Linked DNA regions of Drosophila melanogaster. The protein of the gene in region 1 interacts with the protein of each later gene in a pairwise test. Each region holds a gene or a part of one and is shown on either strand. Other genes may lie near its edges.

Region 1 (6,512 bases):
ATAGATCGTGTATTCTAGGGAAGGAACTATCGAACAAAGAGCTTAATAATTACATTTTTTTCGTTTCATATAATTTAAAAATTAAAAACATTTTATTTAGTTTAAAATTTGATTTATTTACATGACACTTAAATTCATTAACAAATGCATTCAATAACAATCTATTTGTGTTAATCAGTACTACATGCATGTGCAAAAGTCATACAAAATATGCTTTGTAAATTGGCAATCACAAGTTTCCTTCTTAACTTGCATTCTGGCTTATAAATTACGAAAAGTACACGGACCCGACCGATGCAGATATTTCAGTGTTGCTCCATTTTTAAATGTTAACCTTTTTTGAAACCTAACTACTGTAGTCGGTGCCGTTGAGCGAGTTTTTGAAATGCTGGACGACATAATCGTGATAATAGGCCATTATGCACAGAGGCTGACCAAGAATAATGGAAGCCCACACGATTATATTGCCCATTCGGGGACCCAGTTTCTTTTCAATGGATTTGGATATGGCCGATAGGGGAATCTGACCCATCATGCCCATAAATGCCCAGATCTTGTATATTTGCAAAGGAACTGAAACCTGAAAATATAAATTATATTATTGTACAAAATTTGAAATTCTAAATATCAACCCTCATACCAAATATTCATGGAAGACGGCACTGAAAAGAAAGACAATAGTAGAGGCCTGTCTTGAGGAATATCCCATTTGGACCACAGGGATGTAGAGATGACGCACGCACCACCTATGAACTGGCATGTTCCATGTACGCCAGAAGGTGTCAATGTTATTCGCATTCCACCAATCACAATAAAAATTGCGATCTGCAAAATTCAGCAGTTCGCCGACCGCATTAAGAAAAGAGTGGAACATTAGATAGAAAAAGCAGAGCCAGCAAAGATGATTGGGTAGCTAATTAAAGAAAAATTATTAAATAATACTCAAACGTTTTATAATTTTCACTCTACCAACCGCAAGTTTAAGAAGTCGCTCAGTGGCTAAGGCCACGTCCATATTGGAGAACGGAATCAGGGAGTTCCGAACCGATGGAATGATCCATTGTTGAAACAAGGCCATAACCACATTCACTCCAATCACCACCTCCAATAAACGCTTCAGCAAAAAGCGTTTGCGCACGCGAGAAGTTCGCGGGAAATTCAACTCATAGCAGAGAGTGGGCGCGCAAAGGAAGTACAGGAGATCCTTGTATGTGAGATTATCAGGATATTGCACCAGCTTGGAAACGTCCTCGTCTTCTTCACCTCCATTCAAAACTCCTTTTTCTGGATGAAAGATGAATTTTTAATATATGACATTCCGTTGAGAGATCTCAACATACTTAGTTCCGCCAAAGTTATGCTTGGTCGACGCTCCCGCGGATTCTTTTGATAATAAGTCTGACGGCACCACATATTCGTCTGCACATAGGACCATAGTTTTAGGAACAACACAGAGTAAAAGAAGCAAACTGTTGAAGCGCCCACTAAAGATTAACAGATAATTAAATATTTTAAAATACACCTAAACTAAGTTAATTTCTCACTCAAACTAAAAGCATGTCCTTTTAGGTGAATTGTTACCACCGGTAGGCAAACCAAGACAACAATGTTCACTATCTGGATGAACAAGCCCAAGCCCTCTGCAATTATTTCCTGGAAAAGAATTACAAATTTGTTTTAATTTTTAATTCATTCAGTTGGTTTTTGAAAAAAAAAAACAGGAATTGATATCATATCAAATGATACTAAATTAGTAAAGTTCAATATGCGATATTTCTGATATGAACATTTAAAATCTAAAACCATCGAATCCTAGTAACAGTAACTATAAACAATCGATATCGAAAACTCGCCCTGAGTTCCATCCCCAGATCGGCGAGCATTGTGTGCGAAAACGAATTGCGATTTCATTTCATGTTGCAAGAGTGTGGAGGAACAAGCCACGAGTGATATAAATTAAAGCAAATAGGACCATCGAAAAGAAAATATACTCAAAATGGAAGTGACAGAGGCAAATTTACAGCTGCTGGCCGGTTATTTGCAGCAGACGCTGAGCGCCGATCCCAATGTCCGCCGGCCGGGTGAGTGTGTGTGTGTAGGAATGCATGTGCACACACACAACTGCACATGCGTGCAGGGGTGCTGATGTGTATGTGCGCGGGAAATGGTTTTTGGCGACGCCAAAGAAAAATACGGTTTTTAAATCCATTTGAAGTTGTCTACAAGTTTTCCCTATGTCAAAGAATTTATACAGTCACGCTTTCTATTAATTGAATCGAGATTAGCTGATCTTGATATGACTGTTGCCAAGCCACCTTTCAAAACCATAGACCTAGTTTTAGGATTATTTAAGGCATACCAAGCCTATAGACTCCGCACCACCATAACCAAGCTTTTGAAAATATTGTATAAAAAACTTATTGCTTGAATTGAAAATATGTTTAGTCTAACGAGAAACACTGTAAGCTCCTATCGGTTCCTTATATATTTGTATTTGCAACATCCGATTTACATAAGTACAATAGTTCTAACAAACACACCATTTCCTTCTCTACTTTTATAGCCGAAAAACTTTTGGAGTCCACGGAACTACAGCAGAATTACCCGATCCTACTGCTCAATCTGATAGACAAAGCCCAAATGGACATGACTACGCGGGTGGCGGGAGCCATTGCCTTTAAGAACTATATTAAGCGGAATTGGGCAGCCCACCTTGACAGCGACGGACCGGATCGCATCCACGAAAGTGACAGGAATACAATTAAGACCTTGATCGTTACGCTAATGCTCCACTCACCGGTGGCATTGCAAAAACAACTAAGCGACGCGGTCAGCATCATAGGCAAATATGATTTTCCCAAAAAATGGCCGCAGCTTATCGACGAGATGGTGGAGAGATTTGCCTCTGGTGATTTCAATGTCATCAACGGCGTTTTGCAAACCGCACACTCGCTTTTCAAGCGCTATCGTTATGAGTTCAAGTCGCAGGCTTTGTGGGAGGAGATCAAATTTGTACTGGATCGTATGGCTAAACCTCTGACAGACCTGCTCCAGGCCACAATGCAGTTGACTAAGGTGCACGAGAACAATGCCGGCGCCCTGAAGGTCATCTACGGTTCATTGGTCCTTGTGAACAAGGTGTTTTTCTCGCTCAACTCCCAAGATTTGCCGGAGTTCTTTGAGGACAATATCAATACGTGGATGGGAGCGTTTATTCAGCAACTAGCTGCGGATGTGCCATCCCTGCGTACTGCAGATGATGAGGATGCGGGTGTTCTAGAGCATCTGCGTGCTCAAGTCTGCGAGAACATTTGCCTTTATGCAAAAAAGTACGACGAGGAGTTCAAGCCATTTATGGAGCAATTTGTGACTGCAGTTTGGGAGTTACTGGTCAAGACAAGTTTGCACACCAAGTACGATTCGGTAAGTAACAGAAACCATACGCTTTCTTAATAATTATTTTTATAATTTTTCCATTCTTATTTTGCGCACAGTTGGTCTCCCATGCTCTGCAGTTCCTCTCTGTGGTGGCTGACCGCCAGCATTATCAGAGCATTTTCGAGAACCCAGAGATTCTTGCTCAGATCTGCGATAAAGTTGTCATTCCCAATCTAGACATCCGGCCCTCAGATGAAGAAATTTTCGAGGACAGTCCGGAGGAGTACATTCGAAGGGATATTGAAGGCTCTGACATTGACACACGACGTCGGGCGGCATGTGATCTGGTGAAGACTCTATCAATCAACTTTGAACAAAAGATCTTTGGCATTTTTGGCCAGTATCTAGAGAGATTGTTGACCAAGTACAAGGAGAATCCGGCTACCAATTGGAGGTCAAAGGATACGGCAATTTATTTGGTTACTTCGTGGGCATCTCGAGGAGGAACTCAAAAGCATGGCATCACACAGACCTCGGAGTTGGTTCCACTTCCCGAATTTTGTGCCCAGCAAATTATTCCAGAACTGGAAAGACCCAACAGTAAGCCCAAATAACCATTTTCCCAATTCGATCATCTTATATCTGCATTCTTCCAATGCTCTTTGCAGTTAACGAGTTTCCTGTTCTTAAGGCTGCTGCAATTAAGTATGTAATGGTGTTCCGCAGCATTTTGGGTCCCCAAGTCTTAGCAAGCTGCCTGCCCCAGCTAATTCGACATCTCCCCGCCGAAAGCTCTGTTGTTCATAGCTATGCTGCTTGTTCAGTGGAGAAGATCCTTTCTATGCGGGATGCTAGCAACGCGATCGTTTTTGGTCCTCAGATTTTAGCACCTTACACAACTGAACTAATTAGTGGGTTATTTGCGACCCTTTCACTCCCAGGTTCCGGTGAAAATGAGTACGTAATGAAAGGTGAGTTTGGGGGACTATCTCATACGTTTCTAATATGTTAACAAAACTCTAATTATTATTATTAGCCATTATGCGAAGTTTTTCGGTCTTGCAATCGGCCGCCATGCCCTTTATGGGCGTCGCCCTTCCACGGCTTACCGAGATTCTCACCCAAGTGGCCAAGAATCCATCGCGTCCGCAGTTCAACCACTATCTTTTTGAAACGCTGGCTCTGTGTATAAAGTAAGTGTTATGCATTTTGGTGGTAAAGAGCAATAACAAATTTTCTTTTTCCCTAGAATTGTTTGTCACGCCGATTCCTCGGCTGTGAGCTCCTTTGAGGAGGCATTGTTCCCAGTTTTCCAGGGCATCTTACAGCAGGACATTGTCGAATTTATGCCCTACGTCTTCCAGATGCTTTCTGTGCTGTTGGAAATGCGCGAGGGCACTGGTACCATACCGGAACCCTATTGGGCTTTGTTCCCCTGCTTGTTGTCACCAGCTCTGTGGGACAGGACGGGCAATGTCACACCATTAATTCGCCTGATTTCTGCTTTCATCAAGCAGGGATCTGCTCAGATTCAAGCCTTGGGTAAACTGGTAAGTTATATTATACATCACAAATTTTATTTTACAGAGTCCAATCTTATGCATTTTTCAACATATATTTCAGAGCGGTATCCTCGGAATATTCCAAAAGATGATTGCCTCCAAGGCTAATGACCATGAAGGGTTTTATCTTCTCCAGAATCTGCTTTCCTACTACCCTCCCGCTGAGATTCAAACTAATCTTCGTCAGATCTTTGGCCTGCTCTTCCAGCGATTGTCTCTCTCAAAGACTCCGAAGTATTTAAGCGGCATCATTATCTTCTTTAGCTTTTATGTGATTAAGTTCAGTGGCAGTCAGATGGCTCAATTGATAGATGAGATTCAGCCTAACCTATTTGGCATGCTGCTGGACCGCGTGTTTATCACCGAAATGGGCAAGATTCCCAAGGAACAGGATCGCAAAATGGTGGCCGTGGGTGTCACTAAGCTACTTACAGAAACTCCTGAGATATTGCAGCAACAGTACGCTACTTTCTGGCCACGACTGCTGCATTCTCTAATCGATCTTTTTGAACGACCACCAGAGAAATTGATGGGTCTCGAAATAGGAGAGACAGCTGGAGTTGCCGAAGATCCCGATGCGGGCTATCAAGTGGCATTTGCCCAACTGACTCATGCCCAGCCCAACCAGCAGGATCACCTGGCTGAGATTAAGGATGCTCGCCAGTTTCTAGCAACTTCGCTCTCTAAGTTTGCCCAGGCTAGGGCAGGAGAATTTTCCACTTTGTTGTCGCCCCTGGAGCCGGAGTACAAGCAAGTACTCCAGAAATATTGTGATCAGGCTGGAGTACGCATTGCCTAAAGGAATCGACCGACTTTAAGCTCATTCATCGCAATCAAACCTCGCCATACATTCGAAAATTTATGCATACACGCACTCGATCACTCATTGCATGCCCAGTTTATTGTCATTTAAAAATTGTATCTAATATATGTAAGTTTTGTAAACAATTAAAAATTATGTTTTCCGAAACTAGTGTGTTTCAACTGCGATAACTTCTGAATATTTCATACTTTTCTCTCTGATAAACAAATCATTTCTTGTCAAACACCCTTCACTCAATTTCAAAATTGTGAATTTAGAATTAACTAGATATTTCGAAATTTATCATATAAGCCATGTTCAAGCTAATAACGTATTTCAAGTCACGATCGAAGAAAATAGGCGTGAGATGCTATCAAAGTAAGTACTTACCATGGCTAGACCCTTCTCCACAGCCAAACAGAGCGAGATATGCACTAAAGAGTCTGTAAAATATGGTGAGACGAAGGTTATCAATTTCGTTTGCGTAATCCTTGATTTTGTGCGTGCTTACAAATGCTCAGGATTAGGGCGTTATGTCCTTCGCCTTCGTTGTGTCCGCTTATGAAGAAGAACCAATCCAGTGGATTGATGCGAATGCCATACCTAAAAAAATAATGAATTAGCTAAAACTTGTATTTCTACTCAAGATCATCGTAGTTACTTTAGGAGATTCTCCAAGCCCAAACGCAGACCTCCAATGCAGAGCAGTAGAAATCCCCAGTTCACCAGTCCAGAAAAATTGGTAAATCCAGAGCTCCAAGAAAACAGAG
Region 2 (5,022 bases), on another chromosome or scaffold:
ATGGATTGGATGTGCCTTCGCAGGCGGTGTACATTGGCAAAGCTGTAACAGATAATTTCATATCAAATACTCAACTTGCAAGACAGTTTTTTTATCTTAAAAAAATTATTTCTTTCTTGCTATTCTCGAAACAGTGTGAGTGCGGAATAAGTAGACAGCTATCCCTCTCATTTGCGTGTGGAATGAATAAAGATTACTAATTCAAATATGGGGCAAGAATTCCAATTCGATCAGAGACCCTGCTCTATTCTCACCTTTTGCAGCAGATCTCGCAGGTGTGCTCCAGTTGATCGGTGTCGTGCTTGGCCAGATGATTGGCCATACGGCGCTCGCTGCTGAAGGTGCGTTCGCACTTGGGGCACGGGAACTTGAGCACCTTGCCGATTTGAGCCACCTTGTTGTGCACCGTCTCGATATGAGTGGCCAAGTAGTCCTGCGAGTTGAGCGACTTCTTGCAAATGGTGCAGCTATGGGATTTTAAAGTCTATGTAGCAACAGACAGAACCCTCGGGCTTCAAACTCACGTAAATAGCTTGGGGTTGATATGTTTGCGGATGTGGTCCATCAGCTTGGAAGCGCGTGTAAAGACTTTGCCGCAGCACTTGATGTAGTACTCGCGCTGGTGCACCTCCAGGAAGTGGGTCTTCAATTCGGATAGGTAGGGAGCACTAAATTCGCACAGGTCGCAGCTTGCACTCATGTAGCTAGCAATGGCCTTCTCGTAGCTCTTGGCCAGCTGAGCACGGGAGCAGCCCTTGGGCTTGCGCTCGAGAACGGCCTGTAGCTCGGACTCCTGCGACTCGGTGGTTGTTCGCTGGTCAGGTGCCTTCCTGCGCCGACGCTTGCCACCATCGTCGAGCAGATCTGCAAGCTCCTGCTGCAGCGATATCGGACCCTGATCCTTGGAGGAACGTGCCGAGGTTTTGCGCTTGGGCTTCATTTTCGATTTCAGACGGACCAGGGGTTCATCTGCAATGGAACAGGAACTTAGTTACGGCTAATCCTTGGGAAACATTAAGATAATAACCATCTGAGGAGTCAGATTCAGATTCCGGCTGCCCCTCGGTCACCTCCGGTTCGCTATCACTAGCTTGCAGGCAGGGCTTCTCGTCCTCCTCCTCCTCGCAGGGCAGCTGCTCCTTGATCGGTTCCCTGACTTCCACACTGTCCACATTCACGTCCAGCACGCTTCCCAGCAGACTAAGGTTGTGCAGGTCCAACGGTTTCTCGTCCATGTCGCCAGCCGCCAGCGGCAGTTCGTCGATGTTGACGTCCACGTCCACACCGCCCGTCCACTTCATGGCCGCACAGTCGACGTCCACGGTAAGGAACTCCTTCTTGAGTGAGCACTGCTTCTGCTCCACCAGCTGCCAGAAGCCATTGAAGTCCTCCAGATGCTCACAGCACTCGGTACAGACGCTGGTCGAGATGCCGTCGTCTGGTAGGATCTGCATGGGATGGCTTATTGGAATTGTTTTGATACCATTGGTATTTGCCAGATACACTCACCTCCAGCTGCAGAAACTTCGCAATCATCTTGACCAGGCGCGTCTCCGCAAGCGTATCGTCCGTCTCAAAGAGGAAGACAGCGCTTCCGGGACTAAGACATCGCAGGCAAAGGCGACAAATCATTTCGCGCGAACAGAACCACAACGCAAAGTCAAATAAATAAAAAATTTAAACAGTTTTTCGTTGTAAACAACATAATTCACCTATCGTGAATCGATAACAGAATCCAATTGTGAATGGCAAAACTTCATCTCAGGAGTTTTTTGCGGGGTGGCCACCCTGATCGTTGAGTATTTCTCTTTAATTTCTCTTACAATTTATGGTCTACGTTTTTAATTGTCTGCAAAATACGCTGTAAACGATTATCCATTAATTAAAAATCGAAAATATGAAACTTAATATATCGCTGGATACACATCAAAACGATGGCATTCTGCGGACGGTCAGGCAGCACGCCAATCGACCCACACAACTCTGGCAACGCTTGCCGTAAAATGGCAAAAAAATAATACATACGATTTAAAACTAATGGACAATTACGTATTACGTGAAAAGAACGCAACGCAAATAATCAAAACAAATAAGAAACGCAACTCGTGTGCGTGTGTAGTGTGTGTGCAGAGCTAAAACCTAGCGAAGGAAAGGCAAAAACCCGTGGAAAAAGCGAATTCAAACGGGTTTACTCGAAGCCTCCTCACCCGATACCATTTTCCACCTACACTTGCAAAAAAGCGACAGCGCGCGAGAGGGACGGCGCGAGTGAGCGGAGAGTGGGAGAGCGCAGTGCAAGTGAGTGGGAGCGAGAGCGCTGACAAAGCCAGCGCAACATAGCGAAAATCGCAACCAAATCGAAATCGAAATTCAACCAAATCGAAGATTCTGGCGAACAAAGGCGACTAACAACAACAACTGCAGCAGCGGCACGTCTCGTCTTGGTTGCGCTCTCTTTTGTTTTCGTCCCGTGTTTTAACAAGCGGCGAAACGGGCGCTGAGTAAGCGCCAGAAAGAGTGCAAAAAAAAGGCGAAGGAAAGAAAGAAGCCAAGGAGCAACGAACTGTGTTTGCGGTGTGTGCTCTGCGTGCGAAAGGGTAAGCTCTATGGTCTCTCATGCTCTCGCTCTGGAAGTAGGCCGGAACCGAGATTTGTTTGCTAAATTATGTTTAATTGCACAGCGGGTTTGTAAATCTGTGATTTTGTTTGTAGAAAATACGCATTGTATCAAAGAAATATTTTTGTCGGTTCTGTCAAATTCGACGTGTGGGAGTGGGAGGGAAGTTCAGCTAGTCATGTTGTCCCGCTCTATATCGCAAACAGCGTTGCATTTGTCGTCGGCAGGTCATCGTGGTCCGTTTTCTCTTTTTGTCGGCATCGATGCATAGAGTCCGTGTTAATTTCCGTTTAATCGCTAAATAGCACGCTCTCTAATTGTTTAATAATTGCCAGGCGACTGCCACCCCCGGAATTAGTTTCACTCGGCGGTCTGGCTGGATCCCAACGGACCAGGTGGCAACGCCGCGCTCCACACCACTCACGCACGCAATACATTCGAAAAGTGAGAAGTGGTAGAGGAAGAACTCGAGGAAGAAGAATTAGCGGCAAACTTTATGTTGGACGGTGAAAAGCAGAATCAAAAGATATCAATTTCCGCGAAGTTAACAGTTAAATAACCAACATACAGGCGGCCAAGTGTGCCAGCAGACCGCGAAACATTCGAAGTAAACAAATTCAAGCGTTTTCCATTCAGTTTATCATCGCTGCCCAACAAACGAAACTCCCCGAGTGTATTGCTGTGTGCGTGCGTGCTGTTTAAACGGTATATTTTACTCGTCTCTCCTCTTTGTTTGCCTTTGCCAGCCACTGTGCCATGCAAAATTAATAAAAGGATACGGCTGTAAAACAAAAGGTGGTCAAAAAAAAAAATTGCACTCGTCGATTAAATAATAACTATCAAATCCTCTCGGTTTCTGCGAACGTAAGTGTGTGTGTGTGCGTGATGTGTGCGCCTGTGCCTGCGTGGTGTTAGTGTGCGTTGTGCTTGTGAATGGTTGTTATTACAAAAAGGAGACATAGAATTGTTGCCAAGCGTTTAGATTGTCTTGTACTCCCCCCACTTGCATCTGTCAAATTGGTTACATTTTAAATGCCGGCCTTTGTTGTTGTCGCTCTTGTTGCGAGGATTTTACTGGCCCCGTTTTTTCTATTGTTGCTGTAGTTGTCAGCCATTGTTCGGCCGCCCCTTCACGCCCCCTGCCGCAATTATTACAAGACGCCACCGCAAAAAATTCTTTCAATGCGTTGCCGCTTCTGCCGCTGCTGGCGCTGGTGTGTGTGTGTGGGTAAATCTATCTAGCTGTCCCGCTTCCGCTGTCACCCGCCCAAGGCAGCCTCTCAGTTGCGTGTGCTGCGAGGCACTGGCTGTCCTGCTCGCACCAAACATTGCCTGCATTCAGTGTCGGATCAAAGGGGGGAGCGAAACTGGGAAATAGTTGCCCCAAACGTTTTCGTAATAAACGCAATATCAACAAAATACCAAATGATTCTACAAACAGTTTCGAATGGTAGTAGTCGAATGGAATTACACTCTAGTTGTTACTTTAACGAAGCATTAAGAACTTGAACGTATTTCGCAACAGCATGTGTTGGAAAACTACCAAGAAACTTCTTTAGTTTCAGTGGAAATGAAATATCAAAAGCATTTCTACTAAAACTCGGTTTAGTTGAAACCCATACCTATTATTGTTTGAAGAGGTTATTTTCCAAATTATTTGCAATATCTTTCTAAGAAGAACCAATTTTCGCTACAGATCCACCTCTGTAAGCGTTAGTGGTGCGGATCGGTTGGGGGTGGCTAAATAGAGGAGTTCCCGGACACACAATAACCAGCGTGTTGAAAACAATTTGTCGGGAGCACCACCCACTTGCAACTGACTAGCCTCGCCTCGCTACGCCTGCACCTATACTCAATTAAATGCCTATCTACGCTTTTGTATTTTGCAGCCCACCAGAAAGACTGAAACAAGGAGCTTCGGCCCAAAAGCGATCCCAGCTCCTTAAACTCATTCTCGTCAAGAACCACAGCCACATCCTAGCCCATCCTCCAGCGCAGCGGGAAGACGAGGAGCGCGGCGGTGGCGAGAAGGAAGCTAACGCTAATGAGGATCTATTGGCAGCATGAGTACACTGGGGGGAAGTAGGGGAGAGCGAAATGCCAAGCCCAAATTCACAGCGTTAGATATAAATCGCATGTACAAGAATAGCCGCGTAAGTAGCGAGCCCCTAGACCTAGATCTAGATCTACATCTAGATCTTGATAGATCCAAACCTATCTGATCGCCAACTTGTTCTTATTGTTTGCAGGGCGAGTCAAGTGAACCATCTGCACAAAAGAATCAAGTGCCACGTAAACATGGAATGCAAATCTTGGGCAAAGTGCCGTCCGCTAGGCGACCACCAGCCAATTTGCCATCCCTGAAGGCCGAGACCCACACCAGCAGCAACAACAATCTCTTAGTC
Region 3 (7,979 bases), on another chromosome or scaffold:
ATTATACAAATTCAAAAAGAATCATTTTAGTTTCCAACTATTCTTTTGACTTAGGAGCGAACAGCTTTAGTATGGATTTAACTTTAAACCAAGTTATAATAAAATATGTGTTTATGAATGAGAGCTTCCACTAGAAAGGCATTCAATAAATTGGCAGAATAGAAATAAGTTCTCAACCATTTGAAATGGATACAGAAACATACAATCTCATCAATTTTGATTCGCACAAACAAACAAAAGTGTTAATGGCACGGAGGGCAGCCAGTTAAGTAGAATTTCGGCGAAAATAATTTGTGACACTTTCGAGCTTACACTACTGGCTGGTCTACTAAGTAGTTCAGCCGATTCTATGCATTTGATGTTGGCTAGATGATGACGCGGTAGTAGGAATCGGATATGCTGTACAAGGCCACAATGGGAGTCTTGGCATCGCTCAGATAGTCGACAACCTCTTCGTTTATCTCGGAGATGTAGCGCTTGTATTTCGAAAATCTGTATGAATTGATGAAGTTGCAGTTGAAAGCAGACCAAATAGAATTGATTTGTTAACTTACCGCTCGATCACATAGTTGATTTCCGGTTCAGTCTCTCGCTTGCGTATTTCCCGTGGATTAATGGCCCCCACAATGGCATTTACAACAGCAGGCGGCAACTCCACCACCAGGACCACAAAGGTCTCCTTCTTGAGGAACTGCGATAGCGTTGAGCTCATCTGCTGCGCCACCTGGTTCTCTAGCCGCCTTTTGTAGTTCGCCGTTGGCTTGTCGTGGGTGAGAAACGTCACCTGAAGATTCGGCAACTGGCTATAGTTGTTCTTGATGGTGGCATTCGATGCGGAGGTGCTCAGACCATTCTCGCCGCGTTCTCTTTCCTTTCCACCACTGCTTCTGTTGTCACCACTACCCAAGGCTGACAACTGGCTGAAGTTGTCCACGGTGGTCCCATTGAGTCCATCACTTCGCAGCATCTTCTGGATGAACTCCACCAGTTCGGTTCTTGTTAGGTGACGCTCCTGGAATCGTTCCCTCTCGAAAGATCTCACTCTCAATGAGCCATTTTCCGCCACCAGGATGACATGTAACGCCCCAAGGCGGGCAAGATCCTGTGCTTCATCTCCCAATTCGCTGGCGGCCTCCACAATTCCACATCGGATGCCAACCGACCACAGCAGACGCATGATATAGGTCACATCCTTTAGCGGTGGACGGGTTCCACACACGCAAATGCCCACATCTATCGCCCGACAATCCTTAGCGTATTCCACACCAACAGCAGCTACCAGCTTGTCTAGGGAGAACGTCAAGCCCGCTCCACTAAGAACTCCACGTGCTGGCATGGCGGGATTAAACTTCTGCGCCTGCTTCTGGAATTCATGCAGCATAGAGTCGTATCTCTCCCCAATCGCCAGAACCGAAGGATGGCCAGAGCGATTGGGCTTCAGGTCAGCGGTCATCTGCCACACAATTCCACCGTTGCTGGCACGATCGAAGCTGATGGGCAAGCCAGCCCATATGTGTATAGGACACTGAAAGGGAATGGGAACCGGTTAGACAAATATATTGCTTTTAAAAGAAGATTACTACTTACCTTTACGCCTAGACTGTAAGCCAGTCCCACAACTGTTTCAAGTTCCCGCAATGCTCCCCTTGCCAGTGAAGCTGCTTCTCCCTTTCCACGCATCAAAGATTTCAGCGCGGAATCGTCCACAGTGCTTCTGGAACCAGTCAGCAGAAAGTTAGCTAACAACATGTCCATCAGAGTTTGAGCAGATGTTCGCGACTTTTCCATAATCCCGGTAATACTCGAGTGAAATTGGAAGCGTGAGATGCGCGACTCGATGAAGTCCATGGTGCCCTCGAAGAGTGCTCCATACTGAGCCTTTGGTACATTGCAGAAGATGAGGATGGCCCTCAAGAGATTAGTGTGGTTCATGCGGATCGCCAAATTCTTTTCGCGTAATCGGGGCAGTTCACTGGTGATTTCAAAAGCCAACGACAGCAGCTCGGCATCAACTAAATGACTTCCAGTTGTGGGTGCAATTATATCGAAAGAGCAGTCGTAGCTTTGCTTGGGATGAAAATTAAACACTCGCTCCTCCCGATAGACACGGTCCACACAGTAGCGCCGGATGAGATTCACGCTGTTCATGGTAACGTGACGCGCAAACTGAGTCCGCAGGTCACAGGGTAGCACCACCACACATCCCGAGTGGGTCATAAGGTGTACGGCATTGGCGTTCGCATTCGCAGTGCTGTTCCTTGCGGAAAGTGGGGATAAGAGCGGTGAGTCCACCTCTATAGCTCCATGCTTGCGGAATAAATTCACGACCTTAGCCTTAACAAACTCAATCACTGGGTTCAGGGATACTATATCATCGATTATAATTGCCGAGTTCCAGGATTTCATAGCTCGACTGCTTCCCAAGTGGTAGGTGTGTTCCAGCACCTCGTCGCTCTCCTGCTGAAGACATCGGGCAACTAGGTTCTTGTAGGCCTTGCTCTGCGGATTAGCGAGGGCGTGACGCAGCATTTCTTGGAGCTCATTGGCCTCCAACTGGGCTGGTGGAACCAGGTCTGAGATGAGCAGCTCCTCGGCAGTAGGTCTCTGGGCGGGATCGTGGTTGAGAAGCCACTGAAGCATCTTAAAAATAATATAACAGTGAAAATCTTAGCTTTTATCAGGATGGCGACGTGTTTACCTTCACCGTCTTCTCATACTTGGGATCCTTAAGCATAGCATCCGGTATATTAATGGAAACATTCCTGAGAGCCATAATGGTCTGAGCCCGCTCCATGCTTGTGTCGAACGGCGGTTGGCACATCTCGAAAAGAATGATTCCCAGGGTGTACATATCAACCTTCTGGTTGTACACAGACTTGGAAGCATTTCCTGTCAATTCGGGAGCCACGTATAGAGTGGTGCCGACCTTACCAGTACCAGTGCCGTCTTCCGCACTGGTTATCTGGTTAACAGGCGCAGGCGCTGCGTCGTGGGCTTGGAGAGCCAGAAAACTGGTGGTGGCCAGACCAAAGTCACCGATCTTAATCTGATCGTGCGAGTCCAAGAAGATGTTAACGGGCTTTAGGTCCCGATGGATAATGCCTTGCTGGTGAATATGCGCGAGACCCTCGGCAATCTCCCGAAATAAGCGCCACAGACGATCCGTGTCATTGAAGAGATTGTCATCGATGGCGGTGCTACAGTATTATTAAATAGTTATTTAATTAGTTATTTAATTGGTGAAGCTTTCGAAAAACATACCGCAATGTGCATTTCTCACAGAACTCCATCTGGATGTACATGACCTGCATCAAAGGTTTTGGCGAATTGGTCTTGCCTCTGGTGGAATCCTCCTGCTCTTCGTCGTCGTAGACAGCCACCTTGCCGTTGGAGTCCACAAATTCAATGCCATCCGAATCAGAGTCCTCCATGTTGGGTCTGATGGATACGAAGAGGTGTTAGCGTTAATTCAAATTAGAGGAAGCATAGAAGCTAATTTTTACATGTAACCGTTCCACATGCTGGATGAGCTGTCCTCTTCATCCTCGTCCTCCTCTAAAGTGGGCCCCAGCTGTGGTGACTTGGCAGGTTTTACGCTAAGGTCCTGCTGACTCTGGGACCACTCACCGCCCAGCAGCTTATCCATCTCAGCGGCATCTGCGTCATCTACACTTTCTATCCAACTGTTAAAGTATCGAACTACATTCTCATGATTCAGCCGCGAAAGAAGCTCCACCTCGCGCGTCATCTTTTTGTACAGCTGGCGACTCCTCGCGGGCAATGGTATGCGCTTGATGGCGTACTCTCGGTTGTCTAAAATGTTGCGCACCTTTAGCACGTCACCAAAGGCACCCTTTCCCAAGTACATGAGCACCTCGAATTCCGTTCGCAGGCGGGATTGGCTTAGGGCCAGTGTCGGTATCTGGTACGGCATGGCGGATCCAGTGCGCTGGACGGTGTTAGGATGTTGCTGCTGTGGTAATGGCATCACCTGCTGCTGGCCATTGTCGACGTAAAAGCGTAAGAATGGATGCTCCAATAACTCTGATGCGGAAAGAGTTCGGTCCGAGTTACACCTAAAGAAAACATTAAATTAAAAAAGGATTAAGTTTTCATTACAATTAATTACTTGTCTACAAAGTCGCGCATCTCGTAACTGTTAGTGGGCATCAAACTCTCCACCAGGGCACCTAACGCGGGTAAGTCCCCGCAACTGCTGCTTTGTCCAGCTCCGCTCAGAAGTTCTAGAAGATTGGGAACGAGCGAAAAGTCTGATACCCTCACATTGCCTGTGTTGTCCATAAAAACAGTGGTGTCGAGCAGGTGACTATGGGATACACCCTTGTTGTGAAGAAATACTAAGGCGTCCAGCACGCCGCGCGCAACCATTCGTGCGCCGTCCATGCACCAGCCAAGCGAGGAGGAGATGCTGAACACGCTGGTGCCAAGGAGGAAGTCTTGGACCAAATACACAAGTAGACCTTCCTTTCGCTTGATGCACAGTACGCACTCGTACGAGACGAGGTTTTTGTGCTGTAGTTGGGACAGTGAGGACACCTGCTTTTCAATGGAGGCCATCACTTCGTCCACACGATGACTGCCCATGCACTTTGACTCGCTGCTCCAGTGGCACTTGCCTCCGCCGATGCATGGCTGCTCCAGTTGGCTGTACTTGATGTTCCATTCTGTTATGTAGAGCAACTGGCCGCAGTGCATATCTATGCCAGTGTAGGCGATGCAACCTCGTTGGGAGTGACCTAGGAATTACGCACAATAAATTACTTAGTTCAGACGCATTCAAAACAGGAATTCTCTTTAGGAAAGCGAACCCTCACCAACGCAGCATCCACGCTGAATCTGCCTGCCCATCTTGTGGAAGTAGAGCGTCTCCGTGTTGCGGTGATCCAGGCATTTGGAGGGGTAGATGTGACCACGATAGTAGGGCGAGGAGTTCTCGGAGCTCTCCGACGAGCTAGGATGCCGTGGGTTAGACTCGCTCATGCTGCGCCTTGGTTCGCCGCGCCTCTTAGCCTCCGTTTTGAACATCTCTTTGCGCCGCTCCACCTCGTCGATGAGCGTCTGGCGTTGCAGGGACTCCCGCTGCCGCTGTATGTCCTGTAGCTCCTGGTCGCGCTTCTGTTTATCCTGGAGCATCTGGTCGTAGAATGATCCCTTTGGTGGTTTGTTGTGTTCGAGGAGAAAGGCCTGAACGGTCTGGGCCAATTCATAAATCATCACTTCGCCACGTAGCTCTTGGGATTGAGCCTGCAATTGGTTGCGTAGGGCCTCCAGCAGCTGATCCGACATGCCTTTGGACTCCTCCAGAGATATCTTAGGGGGCCTGCGGAAAGTTTGGTTTACTTATTTTGAGTAATGCATTCCACATTCTAGTGGTTAGTTCTATAGTTTAAAATTCAGTTTTTTAAGAATAAGTGGAACTGGGCTCTTACAATTTTGGATACTTTGATGGACAGGTGACGTGCAGCTTGGTGCACACATAGGTTTCCAGTCCGTTCGAGGAGTCTCGAAGTGGGGTAAGTTGTATCCGTATGTCCGTTGGCTTCCACAGGGAAGGATTCGCCTGGGGTCTTAGGTCCTCCACATCACAGCCAAAGATGGACTGTTCCAAGATAAGGAGATAAGCCTTTAGTATCAGCTTCTTGGATGAAACACCTGCTCTGCTCACCTTTATAACCTCCAACTCCTGCGCTTGCCGCTCGCGGAAGGATTCCTTGGCCTTTTCATCCGCCATTTCTGCATTAAATCTCCGGTTAGTGGATAAGTCTTGGCTACATCTGGGTGCTTTGGAATACTGGATCGGAAGTTCCTTCGGATTTCCCACCGGGTTATTTTAGCCGGTGTGCAATTTCACAAACTGCGCTGGCAGCTGTTTCCAAATCAGCTGCGTGCTGCATTACTTTGCTGCTGTATTCGACTTGAATTCGATGTGAAATGAGTTACTACGCGAACTCCTGCCGTTTTTGTTGCGTAAAGAGAACAACCTGTTGCGCTTTCCACTTAATTTTCCGGAAAAAGAAAATTTTTTGCGTATTTTGTACTGAAGGCTAGTGGTGCACAAGTGTCGATAACAAGCCTGAAAGTCCAATGTTGGCACTATCGATACTTGGCGCCAACGTTCGACTTCGTTGTCTTTTGAACCGAAGAATGACAATGGTCGGTTTTCAATAAAATATAGATAAGTGTTTGTTTTCAAACGTAGGCCTTGCCCACAAAGAGGCCTATTCCCATGATAACTAATTGAAAAGAGAAGAAAACTCCTCCCACTGGGATTCCGCGATAAGCGATTTAACAGCACTCTTCACTGTTGACATTCCTTGTTGGTTTTGCTTATCTAATTGAAAATTTGACAATTGTACTCAAAGCGCAGCGGATTAAGGTTATCTGAAATGGAAATAGAGTTTTCATTGGCGATCTGCAGCATTCAGTCTTCCATTTCGTCTAGAAGGCAGAACTTGCCAAGTGCAACAATGCCGCCAATCTTTCTGCTCGTATGTCTTCTTCCTGGTTACTCGGAAGGTGCTCGCATCCTGGCAGTGTTCCCTTTGCCAAGTTCTTCGCATTACTTTTTCGCCTTACCCTACCTTAAGAGTTTGGCCTCCCTGGGCCACGAAATAACCAGTGTAAGTCCGTATCCACAAAGGGAGCCGTTTAGGAATATACACGATATTCCAGTTCCCGAGGTTTTCGAAAACTTTAATGGTGAGATGAGATAAATAAAGATCTGATTTGTCAAATAGAAATACTTACGATATTTTCCAGAGGTCCTTAGGATTGCATCTACTCCCAGGAGCACCTGGCAAAGTAGTGATTTCATCAACGAATATGTCCTTAATCTTACGAAGACAGTGCTGAATAACGAGGGCGTAAGGCGCGATATTCTAGGCCCACAGAAGCCCCATTTCGATCTTGTGATAATGGATCTCTGGCGAATGGACGTGCTCAGTGGCCTGGCTGCCTATTTTGATGCCCCGATCATCGGAATGGCTTCCTATGGCACCGACTGGAAGATTGACGAACTGATGGGCAACGTCTCACCGATTTCTTACCTGCAGTCTCCCTCTTCTCGATTCTACGATCTGGAGGCCTATGGAGAGCGGTTGTTGCACCTGATGGAGCGAACTTTTTCTTATATGAACTATAAATGGCGACATGTGAGAAAACAGGAGACTCTCTATAGTCAATTTTTCCCCAGCGTCGCTGAGCGGAAACCCTTGTCAGAGATATCCCGGAACTTTGATTTGGTCCTGGTCAATCAGCACTTCACACTGGGTCCTCCTCGTCCTTATGTTCCGAATATGATCCAGGTGGGTGGTCTGCATGTCGATCACAGCACAGAGGCTCTGTCCGCCGAACTGGACCACTTTATCCAAGGTGCTGGTGAATCGGGGGTAATCTATTTCTCACTGGGAACCAATGTCAAAAGCAAATCGCTATCCGAGGATCGTCGAAAGGTATTGCTCGAGACTTTCGCCAGCTTGCCACAGCGAATCGTTTGGAAGTTCGAAGATGAACTGCTGCCAGGAAAACCCCCCAATGTTTTCATTAGTAAGTGGTTCCCGCAGCAGGCCATCCTGGCCCATCCCAATGTAAAACTCTTTATAACCCACGGCGGGCTACTGAGCACTATAGAGAGTATTCACCATGGAAAGCCCATGTTGGGGTTGCCCTGCCTATTCGATCAGTTTCGAAATATGGATCATGTCCGGCAAGTGGGTCTTGGTTTGGTCCTCAACATAAAGCAAATGACCAGTGAGGAATTTAGGTCTACAATTATACGGCTGCTAACGAACAAGAGTTTCGAAGAAACGGCAAGGATCACGGCTGCCAGATATCGGGATCAACCAATGAAGCCCATGGAAACGGCGATCTGGTGGACCGAGTATGTCCTGTCTCACAAGGGAGCTGCTCACATGCAAGTCGCCGGCAAGGACTTGGGTTTTGTAAGATACCACAGTCTA

What was found.
Region 2: the proteins of Cse1 (region 1) and nocte interact in a two-hybrid assay, tested with the Drosophila melanogaster proteins (one large-scale study listed by BioGRID).
Region 3: the proteins of Cse1 (region 1) and Gcn2 interact in a two-hybrid assay, tested with the Drosophila melanogaster proteins (one large-scale study listed by BioGRID).

What each region holds. Positions count from the first base shown.
Region 1 is NT_033779.5:16,820,551-16,827,062, reverse strand, and holds Cse1 (chromosome segregation 1), read left to right. Parts: upstream 1-1,855; 5' UTR 1,856-1,996; coding exon 1,997-2,081; intron 2,082-2,563; coding exon 2,564-3,423; intron 3,424-3,494; coding exon 3,495-3,978; intron 3,979-4,046; coding exon 4,047-4,349; intron 4,350-4,414; coding exon 4,415-4,571; intron 4,572-4,627; coding exon 4,628-4,928; intron 4,929-5,001; coding exon 5,002-5,739; 3' UTR 5,740-5,907; downstream 5,908-6,512. Other genes in the region: mdy (midway), read right to left, coding at 347-580, 641-913, 974-1,284, 1,341-1,484, 1,545-1,653, 6,133-6,185, 6,254-6,345, 6,404-6,512; CG13280 (uncharacterized protein), read left to right, coding at 6,057-6,120. UniProt on the Drosophila melanogaster protein: Export receptor for importin alpha. Mediates importin-alpha re-export from the nucleus to the cytoplasm after import substrates have been released into the nucleoplasm.
Region 2 is NC_004354.4:10,471,628-10,476,649, reverse strand, and holds the start of nocte (no circadian temperature entrainment), read left to right. Parts: upstream 1-1,974; 5' UTR 1,975-2,597; exon of another isoform or gene 2,598-2,712; intron 2,713-3,062; exon of another isoform or gene 3,063-3,481; intron 3,482-4,506; 5' UTR 4,507-4,680; coding exon 4,681-4,770; intron 4,771-4,866; coding exon 4,867-5,022. Other genes in the region: CG2889 (uncharacterized protein), read right to left, coding at 1-42, 255-467, 525-969, 1,028-1,448, 1,510-1,632.
Region 3 is NT_033777.3:31,393,764-31,401,742, reverse strand, and holds Gcn2 (Gcn2), read right to left. Parts: upstream 6,084-7,979; 5' UTR 5,753-6,083; coding exon 5,687-5,752; intron 5,621-5,686; coding exon 5,451-5,620; intron 5,342-5,450; coding exon 4,830-5,341; intron 4,758-4,829; coding exon 4,130-4,757; intron 4,077-4,129; coding exon 3,504-4,076; intron 3,439-3,503; coding exon 3,262-3,438; intron 3,198-3,261; coding exon 2,699-3,197; intron 2,641-2,698; coding exon 1,588-2,640; intron 1,526-1,587; coding exon 555-1,525; intron 493-554; coding exon 366-492; 3' UTR 183-365; downstream 1-182. Other genes in the region: Ugt35D1 (UDP-glycosyltransferase family 35 member D1), read left to right, coding at 6,489-6,720, 6,781-7,979.